3 linked regions of the Macaca fascicularis genome follow. The protein of the gene in region 3 interacts with the protein of the main gene of each other region in a pairwise test. Links are inferred from orthologs where the notes say so. Each region holds a gene or a part of one and is shown on either strand. Other genes may lie near its edges.

The links.
Region 1: the proteins of CREB3 (region 3) and P4HA2 interact in a two-hybrid assay, tested with the Homo sapiens proteins (2 studies listed by BioGRID and IntAct). The two-hybrid records come from large-scale screens. The link is inferred for Macaca fascicularis from reciprocal best matches to the Homo sapiens genes CREB3 and P4HA2.
Region 2: the proteins of CREB3 (region 3) and PTDSS1 interact in a two-hybrid assay, tested with the Homo sapiens proteins (2 studies listed by BioGRID and IntAct). The two-hybrid records come from large-scale screens. The link is inferred for Macaca fascicularis from reciprocal best matches to the Homo sapiens genes CREB3 and PTDSS1.

Annotation. Positions count from the first base shown.
Region 1 is NC_088380.1:138,743,499-138,748,133, reverse strand, and holds part of P4HA2 (prolyl 4-hydroxylase subunit alpha-2), read left to right. Parts: intron 1-166; coding exon 167-263; intron 264-667; coding exon 668-819; intron 820-3,968; coding exon 3,969-4,106; intron 4,107-4,635. UniProt on the Homo sapiens protein: Catalyzes the post-translational formation of 4-hydroxyproline in -Xaa-Pro-Gly- sequences in collagens and other proteins.
Region 2 is NC_088382.1:105,965,964-105,970,598, forward strand, and holds part of PTDSS1 (phosphatidylserine synthase 1), read left to right. Parts: intron 1-3,179; coding exon 3,180-3,338; intron 3,339-4,635. UniProt on the Homo sapiens protein: Catalyzes a base-exchange reaction in which the polar head group of phosphatidylethanolamine (PE) or phosphatidylcholine (PC) is replaced by L-serine. Catalyzes mainly the conversion of phosphatidylcholine.
Region 3 is NC_088389.1:63,664,765-63,670,079, reverse strand, and holds the start of CREB3 (cyclic AMP-responsive element-binding protein 3), read left to right. Parts: upstream 1-2,026; 5' UTR 2,027-2,226; coding exon 2,227-2,355; intron 2,356-2,448; coding exon 2,449-2,599; intron 2,600-2,670; coding exon 2,671-2,738; intron 2,739-2,852; coding exon 2,853-2,942; intron 2,943-4,576; coding exon 4,577-4,683; intron 4,684-4,773; coding exon 4,774-4,842; intron 4,843-5,315. UniProt on the Homo sapiens protein: Endoplasmic reticulum (ER)-bound sequence-specific transcription factor that directly binds DNA and activates transcription. Plays a role in the unfolded protein response (UPR), promoting cell survival versus ER stress-induced apoptotic cell death.

The DNA.
Region 1 (4,635 bases), on a different chromosome or scaffold from region 3:
ATGAGTGCCTAGGCCCCCTTTAACTCCAAGTCCCCATAATCCCCAGAGATCTTACATGTTCTTGTCCCAGGGGACTTGCTTCTGTGCTGGTATTCTGTGCTCCAAGGAAGGAGGCTGGACATCCCTCTTCTGTTTCTCACTGTTGCCTTTCTTCTCTCTCTTGCAGGGCACATGACTGACCTGATTTATGCAGAAAAAGAGCTGGTGCAGTCTCTGAAGGAGTACATCCTTGTGGAGGAAGCCAAGCTTTCCAAGATTAAGAGGTGTCCTAAGTCCCCATACCACCCTTAGTTGGCCCTCCTTCCCTTCTGCCCCCCAAGGAACAAGGAAGCCACTCAGGGTACCTATTAGAGGAAGCCCTTGAGAGGGTGATGTGGGGCTGGCCTGGTTACTTCATGTCAGTCCTTGAGAGGAGCTAAGTGCATGGGCTAAGGAGTCACCGTTTATTTTGTATTTAAGACCTTTTCCCTTAAATTGGGGGTCCCAGCTCTTATCTAGATTAAGGGGCTAGAAGTATCTGTGGGGAGTTACTGTATTCATTTTTCATTGCCTCTTGATGAGAAGGGCCCTAGCACCTGGCACCAGGGAATTCTCACCAGAGAAATTATCACAGGTCAAGACCTATGTGGGTGGACGCATTACTCTTCCTTTTCCTCTGGTTCCACAGCTGGGCCAACAAAATGGAAGCCTTGACTAGCAAGTCAGCTGCTGACGCTGAGGGCTACCTGGCCCACCCTGTGAATGCCTACAAACTGGTGAAGCGGCTAAACACAGACTGGCCTGCGCTAGAGGACCTTGTCCTGCAGGACTCAGCTGCAGGTGAGGGATGGTGAGCAGGTGCTTGAGTGAGCCCATATGTTCGTGTGCTCATGCCTGGGCTGTTGTGTCTGAGCCTGTCTTGGGTCTGGGTGTTGGTGGGCAAGTGCATTATACAAACAGGACCCTGCTGGTCTCATGGCTCTCTCCCTTCTCTGTGGGGACCTGGAAGTTGGCTGTCCTTGGTTTTTAACGTCTAATGATGGTTAGTTCTTTTTTTAGCGTCCTTTTTTTAGTGTCTGTCTTTTCTTATTTTTTGCTAATGACATTTTTCCGATTATACTTTAGTGATACATGTTTATAGAAAAGTTGGAAAACACAAAAACAAGAGAATTATAATTCTTAATCCAATTGCCCAGTGGTGAGCATTATTAAAATTATAGTTTTTCTACCTATGCATATACATTAAAAAAATGGAACTATACATACATACCAGGGCATGCAAACTCAGTTGCTTGAAGGGACAAATGAATTTACAAGTGTCAAGTGGGCTGGATGGTGGGACCAGGGCAAGTTGGGGAGCATAGGTCTCATCTAAATTCATTCCTATTCATATCTTTTACAAACAAAGTGTATCTGATGGTAGATTTGTGACAGAAGAAAAAATTCTTTCTGAATTTCACCATGTTGGCCAGGTGAGCTTCTTTATATGCTATTCAGTGTTCCTCTGCAACGTGGTTTTAATGTCTGGATAGTGATTACCTATCAGATGGTGATAATCTGTCATAATACTGTCAAATGGATCAAGTAATTGGATATGGGATTTTTTTTTGAATTATCAGCACCTTTTTACATATTTCTTGGTGTATACTTCTGATTTTTTTTAAGGGTAAATTCTTAGAAGTCATATTTATAGGTCAGATTGTGAACTTTTTCAAAGCTTTAAACTATACTTGATGCTTTTGTTGTGATAATACTTTTTATGCCCTAATACTTTCCTGTCAATAAGAAGAGATGGTAGGGTGGGCCTGGAGGTGGGCTCTCCTAACTCCTAGCCCTGGGTTTAGTCCTCTGGACTCACTGCCTTTTTTTTTTTTTTTTTTGAGACAGAGTCTCACTCTGTCACCAGGTTGGAGTGCAGTGGCGTAATCTCGGCTCACTGCAACCTCCGCCTCCGGGTTCAAGCAATTCTCCTGCCTCAGCCTCCTGAGTAGCTGGGACTACAGGCACGTGCCACCAAGCCCAGCTAATTTTTTTTTGGTATTTTTAGTACAGACAGGGTTTCACCATGAGTTGGCCAGGATGTTCTCGATCTCTTGACCTCGTGATCCACCCATCTCAGCCTCCCAAAGTGCTAGGATTACAGGCGTGAGACACCATGCCCAGCTGCCTTTTTTTTTTTTTTTTTTTTAAAAGGGACAGAGTCTCACTGTATTAGCTCAGACTGGAGTGCAGTGGCTATTCACAGATGCGATCGTAGCACACTGCAGCCTTGAACTCCTGGCCTCACGTGATCCTCCTGCCTCAGCCTCTTGAGTAGCTGGGACTATAGGCACAGAGCCACTGTACCCAGCTCTTCACTGCCTCTTTTCCCTGAGTTGTGAGTAGTGATTAACTTCAGACTAGCTGTCTCTCTGGCTGAGACATTTTAGCCCATGTGGCCAGACTGGGTTGGGCTTGGGGGCAGGGTGGCCTCTGGAGAGGGATTGGTGAGCTCAGCCAGGCTGGAGCTGTGCCCAGTGAGCTCACTGCCTCCAGAAACCACGTCTGCCTTTCCCAGACTCCCGCCTCTCCGCCTGGGCCTGCAGCTTGGGACAGGCTGTTCTGCCTGCACGGCAGGAGACTAAGCCTACCCAGATGACCTCCCCTCTCCAATCTTGTTCTCCACACCCTACACTCACACCATCATCTGGTTCCTTTGGAAAACCTTATGATTACCTAGAAGGAGTTAGGTCAGGCCCAGAGAATAATTGGTTGTTTTCATCTCTGACTTTTGAGTTCTTGCCCCTGAAATGAATGGGGCATGCTGACAGTGTGGCTTTTCCTGGCAGCATGTTCCCCTACCCCCACCCCACCAGATTCTAAACTCTTTAGAGTCCCTGACCATGTAGCTATGAAGACAAGGAAGGCAGGGTTACAGCTTCTTGGTCCCTGTCCCCAGTTATAGCTGGAAGTGGATGTTTAGGTCTGAAGTCATAGGTGGCAGTGGATATAGCTGCTCTTGGGGAGAAGTTGGGGAAGGAATGGCCTTGTTCCCCTCTCATTTCTCAGCTTAGAGGCAGAATTGAAGGCCCTAAGTCACCCTGGGAAGGCTTGGCTCCCACCTGGAGCCCTGGGATTGTGGGAGGTACACATCTTACTTTACAGCTAGGGCTTGGAGTCCCAGAAAAGCCTCCTTGGAGTACTTCTGTGGTCAAAAGCTCTCCCAGGCTTCAGGCTGTGGTCTTGAGCACCATAACTGGAGAGCCCATGCCCTGAACTCATTGCAGGTCTGAGTGGTGGGAGTACAGAGGAGAATAGGCCCACCATGGTCTCTCAAGGGACTGACCTTGCTGGGCTGGTGCAGCCCCACCTTGGTCCTTGGCCTGTCTAGGTGGTCCCTCAGCTGTCAACCTAGGGGGAGGGGGATGACCTCCAGGACTTTCATCATCACCTTTCTGGATGATAAGTGCCAGTGGTCAGTAATGAGTGGCCAGCTCGGCTTCATTAGTTAACTGTCATTGTCCCTTGGACTCCTCAACTTGAAATGTGGGCTGGAAGTCTGTGTTTACCTGACTGGCCCAATTACCCTGGATCAAGGTTTTTGATGGGATTCATTTTCCACTGAGTGGTTGACAGTTCTTCCCTGAGTCCTCTCCTGTGCTCTTCTCAGTTACCCTCTCTATCCTCTGTTACTTCTGTCTCCACCAGCTCTGACTGAATGCTTTGGAGCCAAGACTTCTAGACTCCTAAATATTAACTAATATGGGGGGCTGTTTCTACTTAGTTCCAAAGAGCAGCACGGGCAGTAGGTACAGTGAGGACTAAGAAAGGAAAAGTCCCCATAGACTAGATCAGGGACAACTTCCTGGTGGAAGGGGCAACAGCCTTTGAGGGAAGGGGCGGGGAAATTTCACTAGCCAGAGACCCTCTCTGTGGCTGCCTCTCTGGTCCCAAGTGGAATTCTGCCCCTGGATCAAGGGTAATCTCTTGTTCTGACTCTCATTTGGAAGGTTTTATCGCCAACCTCTCTGTGCAGCGGCAGTTCTTCCCCACTGATGAGGATGAGATAGGAGCTGCCAAAGCCCTGATGAGACTTCAGGACACATACAGGCTGGACCCAGACACAATTTCCAGAGGGGAACTTCCAGGTAACTCACCACTCCAGGCGTTGCCTGTCCTGCATGTGTCTCTTTAGTGGCAGGACAGGTTGCAGCCACCACCGACTTGTGGCCTCTACCCTCAGGTGCACCTCTGGTGTACCTCTTCGCTCACCATTTTGTGTTGGACTCCCTCTCCCATGACAGGTTTCTCCCTCAGCCACTGCCCTGCCACCTCCTTCCATGTATTAGCCAAGGCCCTCTCCTCTCGTGTCTCAGAGAAAGCCAGAGTTGCTGCTCAGGAACCCCCTCTGCCTCTGTCTCCAGAGCACCGCACAGATCTGCATTCAGACCTGCTTCCTGTCTCCCACCCTCCAATGTCTTTTCATCTAAGACTGATCTGGGCTTAGTGTCCCCCTGTCCTGAGTCTTCTTAGTTACAGTCTCTGCTCCTATACATTCTGTCTCCACCTCTCCGGGTTCTACCCTTGAGCTCACATATAGGCTCTATTCTTGCTCATCTTACACTTGCCTCCCTCAGTATCTGAGACTCTTTTGAGTCTTTGCTGCTGATCCATCTC
Region 2 (4,635 bases), on a different chromosome or scaffold from region 3:
GTCATGGCTTTGCGAGGTCAACATCAATTTTAAGATGCACCATCAATTATAGGTATGACTTTTTGGAGGAGAAAAAAAGAAACCTTGGGCTGGGCATGGTGGCTCATGCCTGTAATCACAGCACTTTGGGAGGCCCAGGTGGGCGGATCACAAGGTCAGGAGTTTGAGACCAGCCTGGTGTTTGAGACCATGTTTGAGACCAACATGGTGAAACCCTGTCTCTACTAAAAATACAAAAATTAGCCAGGTGTGGTGGCATGCGCCTGTAATCCCAGCTACTCCGGAGGCTGAGACAGGGGAATCATTTGAACCCGGAAGGCGGAGGTTGCAGTGAGCTGAGATTGCGCCACTGCACTACAGCCTAGGCAACAGGGTGAGACTCTGTCTCAAAAAAAAAAAGAAAAAGAAACCTTACGTTGAAAGTGCTACACATTGTAATATATTGAAATAGTCACCCTAATTCTCAAAACAATACAGTGTGAAAAAGGCATGTCATAGATTCAAGGAAGCACAATCGTTACAAAGGGGACAGCCTGTGCAGAGGCCCTGATTGGGGGTGTGGGGAGCTGGGACCAGTCTGGTACAGAAGGAGTGTAGGGATCAAAAGGCAGAGGGCCCTGCCTGAGGCTAAGGAGGCGGCCAGGGCTGAGCCAGCTGGGATGAGGAGTTTGGGTTATTCTAAATGTACGAAAAGGCCATGGAAGGTTTATAAGCAGAGGAGCTACATGACCTGTGTTGATGTTTTAGGAGGTCAATCAATAATACCTCCATTTCTAGTGGAGTTTGGAAACAGAAACAAGAGTTCAAAATCTCAGCTGATTTCTTCCTGTAAAAGCTCAGTGGAGCAGATAGCTTTAGACCTGGGCTGAATTAAGCAAGCCTGTCTTCCCCTCGCCCATTAGACAACCACAAGCTTCTTCTACAAAGCAGGGCCTGACCCATAAAAGTTGCTGCATGGCTGGGGGAGCTGATGAGAACCTGTGCTGTCTGTAGGCAGGTAATTTCCAAAGAGGACCCAAAAGAGGTTGGATCTCTTTCTTCTTCCAAAGTCAGCAACTGCCCCAGAGAGGAGTGAACAGATAGTTGGGCTGGAGACCCGGTGTGTGCAGTAGTGGAGATCCTTCTGCACTGGGACGGGCATGCTACCCAACCCCTTTCTCCCCGCCCTCCTGCCCCAGACACCTTTACACACATGCATGCACATTCCATGATCTGATGATGATTTTCAAGATCTCTCTGTAGTCTGAAGCTGGATGTGAATGCCCAGGTGCTTATTATAGCATCGTCTATACTTTGTTATATGCCTGACACATTCCACAGTTTTCGAAAGCTGTTATTACGGAAGTCTAAGCAAGAAATAATAGTGGCAGTGAGATGGATAAAAGAACAACCTGGGGAGGTAAAATGAATAGGACTTGGTATTTGGTTAGGTGTCCAGCAAGCGAGGCAGAGGGTAGGGTTGCCAAGATCAGCCTAGGAGCAGTTGGGAGTCAGCAGAATCTGTCTTTACCCATATTTTGCTCACAGACATTGTCCACTTGACCCCCTTTCCAGGCTTCAGCTCTCCGCTGTCTTCGGTTAAAGCCTGTGCCTCCTGGTTCCCAGGGTTCTGCCTGCACGCAGCTCTCTGGCTGCTTTAAACGGCAGTGCCCTGTGGCCCTTCCGGGACCAGGACCTCAAGTCTTATGAAGGGGTAACTGGTAAATCTGTTCATTACTAACTATACTGCAAATAGATGGATTGGTCTTTATGATTTTTAAAGTGCCTTCCCACATGTCAAAGCGTAGAAATACTTAATAGAGTATAAAGGCCTCCAGAGTTATCTGCAAGCTGTGATTACTTTAAGAGTAGCCTTCTAAAAACAGATCTTATCCCTTCCTTATCTAACTCTACACAGTGTATTCCAGAGTAAAGAAGAGGGTGGGGTGGTTGAGACATTTGAGTTGATGGGACGTGGCCGTGCTCCTTAACCTAATATATAACCTGCTTCAGCCTAAGGGCATTTCCCTCTGTCAGCCTGCGATTCTCTGTGACAAGAAGGTGCTGTTCCAGAGTCCGGGAAGAGACTTCATCTTATTGCAGGGCAGTTTGTTTTTTTTTTTTAAGCCTTATCTTGACTCATCCGTATTGAATTTTATCCTCCTTTCTCCAGATTTCCCATTTACACAGCATAATCTCACATCATACTAGTGCTCAAAAAATAGAATTCTTAAAAATGTTTGTTCAGCTTTGCAAGTTGAAACGCATTTTATCTGAGAAGGAAATCTGATGTGTGGTGGGTTTCAGAAGAGACAGGGAAGCTCTTTTGCTCTCAGGAAGTATTTCTGGAATTTAAAACTATTATAGTTTATAGGAATTTTTTTCAGCTGGCTGATAATAGGGGGTGAATATTTGCCAACTCTTACTACTGCCTATCAAATTAATTTTGGGAAGAAAGGATGTGAAATGTAGAGATTCCCGATAAATGTTATCATATTGTCATGCAGTCATATGATAAGATATTAAATTACTTAGAAATATGTATAATCAAAAACAAAGATACTAGAAATGGAACCAAAATTCTTAAAAGCTTTGTAATTTTTAATATTTAAATTATGTAGTATCTGATATATTTTGGGGGAGGGGAGTTCTCTGTTCTTTTAATTACTGAAGTTGGGTGCTTTTCTTCTTTTTTCTAGCGTAACTATTTAAGGCTTTACATTTTCCTCTAAAGTTCAATTTTTACATGGTATATTTTCATTATCATTATGGCACATTAAAAAATTATATTATGATTTCTTCTTTAATCCATGATATTTAGAAATGTGTGTTTAAATTTCCAAATCTATTGGGAATCTTGTATTTGTGCTTTAGTTACTGGCTTTAATATTGTTGCCCTGTGGTCAGATGACATGATCTATGTCATACCACCTCTTTAGGATATGTTGAGCCTTTGTAAAATTATTTTGCTTCTCATTTTAATGCAGCTTTTGCAATTCACAGCAAAGCAGTTTTGATTTATAAACTCAAATACTTGTCCATTTTCCCTCAAGACCCTTAAGTTATTAAAACTTTCTCTTTTTTTTACTGAGCAGGACTTATTAGTTGTCAAGGTCATATCTGTTCTCTTCATTTACCGGTGGAATCCTAGAAGCAAGTTGATTTCTAGAGTTTCACTAATTATTCACTTTTTAAAATAGGAGTATGCTGTGAACTGCCATGTGATCACCTGGGAGAGGATTATCAGCCACTTTGATATATTTGCATTTGGACATTTCTGGGGCTGGGCCATGAAGGCCTTGCTGATCCGTAGTTACGGTCTCTGCTGGACAATCAGTATTACCTGGGAGCTGACTGAGGTAAGAAGGAGGGCATTGGGGGTTCCCCAGACTGTGCCGTGTGTGTAGGTTTTATATATAGGAAAAAGTATGTCCGTTAATAGTTAATCCATTCTCCAGCCCCTGTGGTACAAAATATATTTAAACCATCCCATAAGAATATTTTATACTTCTGTTTAAAAAACAAGCAAATATTTAAAAAAACCTCCTTGTTAACTTAATAAAGTATACCTTGGTCCTGCAAGTGTTAAAGAGAAACAAATGAAATAAAGCTAAAGAATGAAGTTAAAATTCCAAGTAAGACAAATAAATGGGAATGAGGAGATCTGCTTAGAATTCAATAGATCAGTTGACCTACTAACTAGCTTCCAATTTGAGATAATAGAATTTTGTGTTCAAGTACTATAAGAGCATCCAGGGTATTTGGTAGCTGCAAAATGGATTCTAAATGTTAGCTCTAATATGTCAGTAATCAAAAGTTTGTTGCATTTCCTTAATAAAAGAATTATAGTCTTGAAAAACTATTAGCAAAATGAAATTTTGGGAACTACCTCTTTATTGTTCTATTATTCTTAATCATTCCCAGTGAACAGCATTTGGCCACATGCACAGTATACTTCTCCATGCTCATCATTGTCCTGACCCTAACTTAGAGACGTGTGCCAGCTAGATGTGGCTTCCGTTAATGTGCCTCTCACTGTTCTGGAGGCCAGAAGTCCAAGATCAAGGCATTGGCAGGACTGGTTCCCCCTGGGGCCTTTTGGAGCATTTGTTCCAGGCTCCTCCTCTATCTTTGTGGTTTGCTGGCAGTCGTGGTCCCTGGGCTTGTTGATGCATGGCCCCTTCGTGGTCACGTGGCGTTCTCCCTGTGCATGTCTGAGGCTTCATGGTGTTCTTTTTTTGTTTTCTTTTTTGAGATGGAGTCTCGCTCTGTCGCCCAGGCTGGAGTGCAGTGGCGCGATCTCAGCTCACTGCAACCTCCGCCTCCCGGAGGGTTCAAGTGACCCCTGCCTCAGCCTCCCAATAGCTGGGACTACAGGTGTGCGCCACTACACCCAGCTAATTTTTTGTATTTTTAGTAGAGATGGGGTTTCACCATGTTAGCCAGGATGGTCTCAATCTCCTGTCCTCATGATCTGCCTGCCTCAGCCTCCCAAAGTGCTGGGATTACAGGCGTGAGCCACCGTGTCCAGTCCCATGTGTTTTTCATAAGGACACACGAGCATTCCCTTTTATAAGGATACAGGTCACATTGGATTAGCAGCTCACTGTACTCCCTATGACCTCATCTTGACAAAGTACCTCTCCAATGACTCTA
Region 3 (5,315 bases):
TGACTGGGTGAAAATGGTAGGAGAGTAATTTAAAATGATGGGAAAGCTCAGGTTATGATGAGGCTAAATTCAGGTAGGATGTGCGGATTAAGGGTTGGTGAGGGAGGTAGAACTGAGGATGGGAACGGATGATAAGATGAGCATGGGACAGTTAAAGGCAAGGGAAGTATTTTGTAAGGGGATAGTCAGGATGGATGTGAAATGCAGAGTCAGGGATGAGAGTTGGAGAGGAGGCCTTAATACCTAGAGAACAAGTGAAGTGGGAGACAGCAAAGCTAAACTTTCAGGGGATTCAGTTATTCCCTTCTCCCGTGGCAACAGTGATTCCTTGGTCAGCTTCCCCCATAGTCAACAGCTCCTTCTTCCCTAGGCAGTCTCCAACTTGTGACTAGGCCTTGTACATCCTGGGTCCCTATTTCCCACCTATGTTGTATGTAAACAACATAGTCCAGAATCTCTGTCCCCTAACTGTGGTGGCCACAGCAAGGGCCTTAGGCTTAGAGAATGGAATAAAGATGCTGGAATCCCAGATGCCTGCAATAAGCCAGAACACTAGCCTGAAATTAGTTTGTTATCTCTCTGGGTGAAAAGAAGCCCCTGTAACTACACAGGAATAAAGGACTTCCCTACAAAAGAAGGGCATTTACCTACTGCCAACCTCTTAAATTTCATCTGCTCAAGGCCAACTATGCTAGCCTCAATTACAACCCCTAAAGTTGCCCCAAATTCCTAACATTAACCCCACCTCTAATTTGTTTCCTGATTCCCACTACCGGCTTGGACATTCATCCCTTTCCCAGCAGAGACTCATATCCAATCCCTGATCCCTGATACTGATCTAAGTTTTACCTTTAGCACCAAATCGCCTGATGTTAACCCTAAATGTTGACCCCTAAGCCTAAAGTTCATTTGTAACTTGATTCCTAACTCACACTTTCACTGTTTATCCTTAATACCGACCATGTCAACATTCTTTAATCCCTCAAACAGGCTCTAACCTGATTCCTGTTGTTGACCCTTAACCCGACCCTGAACTCAAATTATGACGTATGATGGCCATCCCAGCAAACAAAATAATGACCTTAATCTAAACCTTACCTACCTAAAACGGACCTGACTCACACTACTAACTCTTAAGTTTTAACCCCAGCTTTTAACTCCTATAGCGACCCTTGATTCCTAAACGGACCCCACCTAATCCCCAACTCACCCAAAGCTTTCCTACCCACATGGCCGCTATCAGCTAACACCAAAGCCCGTCCCCGTCCTGCGCCCCGCTGCCACCCGACTCCTCACGCTCCCCAAAGCCTATCCCAGGCAGAGGACTGCCCCCAGGAGAGGCCTGTCTCCCCTAAGACGGCCTACTTCACGATGAGCCCAAGTTGAGATGCGCTGGACGCTGACCTCTCCAACTAACAGAACCCGAACCGGACACGCAGGAGAGGCAGGGCCCCGCCCGCCCCCGGGGCCAGGCTCCGCGGCCCCACCCTAAGGCCCCCGCCCGGCCCGGTCTGGCCTACCTGCGCTGCCCGGCTCTGCGCCCCGCCTGCCGGCCCGCCGGCCCGCTGCCCTGCCGCTTCTCGGGTCGCCCTCGGGCTCCGGCCTCGCCCTCCCTTCGACACTCTCTCGGCCACTTCCGTCCTGGGAACGTCCCCCACCCGCGGGCGGCGCCCTGGGGCAGCGCTCTATGGTCGCGGGGGGCAGGCAGGAAGCTGCTCTGGCCGCGTTCTCGATGCTCGGGGGCCGCCAAAGGCCGGCAGCCCCTCCCTGGCAGGAAGCGAGGGTGCGGCGCAATCCGGAGAGAACGCCAAGACGACGCCCGAGTTCCCTTTCAGGCCAGAACTCTTCCTTTTTCTAGCTTGGGGGAGAAGGCGGAGCCGGAGCCCTGGAACCCCCGCCCTCGGGGTGCGAGGCGGCAGCAGGGCCGTCCCCTACATTTGCATAGCCCCTGGGACGTGGCGCGGCACCCAGGCCTCTTCTCAGTTGGAGGGAACTCCAAGTCCCACAGTGCCACGGGGTGGGGTGCGTCACTTTCGCTGCGTTGGAGGCTGAGGAGAATTGAGCCTGGGAGGCGGGTCCGGAGAGGGCTACGGAAAGCCCCCGGCCGGGAAGCCCGGCCGTAGAGGGACAGTGGATAGGTGCCCGAGGCCTACAGCTGGCCTGGGGCTCGTGTCTGGGCTTCGGACGTTGGGGCCCGGTAGCCCACCCTTTCCGTAGTTGTCCCAAATGGAGCTGGAATTGGACGCTGGTGACCAAGACCTACTGGGCTTCCTGCTAGAGGAAAGTGGAGATTTGAGGACGGCGCCCGATGAGTCCGTGAGGGCCCCACTGGACTGGGAGCTGCCGCTTTCTGAGGTGCGTTGGGGTTCTGACTGGGGAAAGCGTGGGATGTCCATGAGGTCAGGGGATGGTGATAGGTCAAGGCCTGTTCACTGGAACCCTGCGCAGGTACCGAGCGACTGGGAGGTAGATGATTTGCTGAGCTCCCTGCTGAGTCCCCCAGCGTCGTCGTTGAACGTTCTCAGCAACTCCAACCCCTGCCTTGTCCACCATGACCACACCTACTCCCTCCCACGAGAACCTGTCTCTATGGATCTAGGTGAGTCTGAAATAAGTTTGCGGGGAGGACAGGGTTCATGGGCCTGGCTATTCATACGTTCCCTTTTGCAGAGAGTGAGAGCTGTAGAAAAGAGGGGACCCAGATGACTCCACAGCATATGGAGGAGCTGGCAGAGCAGGTACTTGACTTGATTTTCAGGAAGATTACTCTCACATTCCTCAGGTGGGGGCAGGATTCCCCATTCCTCTGTGACATCCCCATGCAACTGCCGCCCACTTTCTGGTTACCCTAGGATATTGTTAGGCTGGTACTGACAGATGAGGAGAAGAGTCTATTGGAGAAGGAGGGGCTTATTCTGCCTGAGACACTTCCTCTCACTAAGGTAAGACTCTCGTTAGTTGAGCAAAGGCTGAAAAGGGATTAAAAGTCTCAAGTAGGCCAATTCTGTTAACTTTATATCAATAACTTTAAAAAAGGATTGAGGTGAGAAACTTAGCAGATTTATTGCTAATAGGAAGTTGAGGCAGGTACCCAATATGCTAGATGCAAGGCAGATCCTCATTTTCGTTGGGCTTACACAAATTTTGGTGTTCTGTTAAAAAACAAACAAAAAAAAACCCTCAAAATTATCAGTGCAACATTAGTATTGGGCCTTGGAAAGGACTGTGTAAGTGAAGGGCCTTGACACTTCATTGGCTTCATAGTAATCCACCTCTTGCTGAATGGTAGAACTGTTTAGAGAGTTCAACACGATTGGACTAAGCAGTACATGAATAAATGCAAAATCCTTAGTTTCCAGTTTTAAGCAATCAGTGGCAACTTCACAAGCAGAGTACTGGGATACTATGATGAAATCAGTGCTCATTAATAGAAAGGTTCCAGGAATTTTTTTTTTTTTTTTTGACAAGGTCTTGTTCTGTTGCACAGGCTGGAGTGCAGTGATGTGATCATGGCACACTGCAGCCTTGAATTTCTGGGCTTAGGTGATTCTCCCACCTCAGCCTCCTGAGTAGCTGAGACTACAGGTGCACACCACCCTGCCCGGCAAATTTTTTTTTTGGTGTTTTTAGTAGAGATGGGGTTTTGCCTTGTTGCCAGGCTGGTCTTGAACGCCTGTGCTCAAGTGATCTACCCACCTTGGCCTCCAAAAGTAAAGAATTTTAATTCCTTCAAAGTACAAGATGAGTCAGCAGTGCGATGTGGCTACTAGGAAAGTTAATGGGATTTGGAAACTGTAGCAAGAGTTATTGTCTCCACAAGTCACTATCTTGCTTTCCTTTATACTGGCTAGAGCACATCTTTGACAGATACTAAGAAGATGCAGTCTATCCTAAGAAGATGAGTTAAAATTTTTGTCTAAGCTGTTTTTTTCTTGAACTTTTTTTCTCTGAGGAAATGTCAAATGCCTGAAAATAGCTTAACAGGGTTCATTCTATTTGGCCCCAGAGATACTAGGTAAGTCCAACGTATAGAAATTATAAGGAGACAGCTGTTGGTTCAGGATAAGGAAGTTTTTGTTTGAAGACAGATTCTTGCTTTACTGCCCAGGTTGGAGAATAGTGGTGAGATCATGGCTCACTACAGCTTTGACCTCTCAGGCTCAAGCGATTGTCCTTCCTCAGCCTCCTGAGGAGCAGGGACCACAGGCATGTGCCACCACACCCGGCTAATTTATTTTTAGTAGAGACAAGGTCTCACTGTGTTGCTCAGGCTGGTCTCAAACTCCTGGGCTCAAGCGGTCCTCCTGCCTTAGCTCCCCAAAGTGTTGGGATTACAGGCATGAGCCATGTCACTTGAATATTGCCTGACCAATTTTTTTTTTTAATAGTTTAAAATGGTCTGGCTTGTTAGGGTTAACACGTGCTCCGTGGAGGCATTCAGAAAGAATGTGAATGCCTATTGGTCAGGGAAGCTGTAGAAGGGATTTCTGTATTGGAAAGAGATGGATCTCAGTTGCCTTTCAACTTCTTGTTCTAGAGTCCCTCTAATGATACCCCTTTCCCTGTTTCCTTTCAGATGGAGGAACAAATTCTGAAACGTGTGCGGAGGAAGATTCGAAATAAAAGATCTGCTCAAGAGAGCCGCAGGAAAAAGAAGGTGTATGTTGGGGGTTTAGAGAGCAGGTATGAAAGGGAGAGGGACTCAGTTTTAAGTGTTAGGTTTTTGAAGGGAGGACACAGGCCATATCCCCATATCTTTGTTATTTCCCCCAGGGTCTTGAAATACACAGCCCAGAATATGGAGCTTCAGAACAAAGTACAGCTTCTGGAGGAACAGAATTTGTAAGTATCCCTCCAAACCATTCCCTTCCTACGCTCCTCATTTAATGTTTTCTCACTCTTTCCCCTGCCCTACACTTGATTTCTAACAGGGTGGCTGCCTTCACTAGGTCTCTGATTCTAAGAAGCTCACAGTAGTGGGGAATATATTTATAAGTAACTGAGAATAAGCTAAGTACCTAGAAAAAGAAAGGGGGTAAGAAAGACCTCATGGGCTTTCATAGGATTCTGGGGTTGGGTTGGGAAAGCATTCTAGGCAGAGAGAAAGCATCCTAGGCAAGAGGATTAGCCCAGCATAGTCCTCTTGGGCTGGAACACATGTGAGCTGGGACAGAAGGTAGAGAACGTAGAGAATGCCCGGTGAGGATTATGTGCATAGCTGATCAGACAATGGGGAACTACTGATGATATTTGCAAAGGAGGTTAAGTCCTGGAAGAGTTTGTTTTGTTTTTGCTTTTTTTGTTTGTTTTAATGA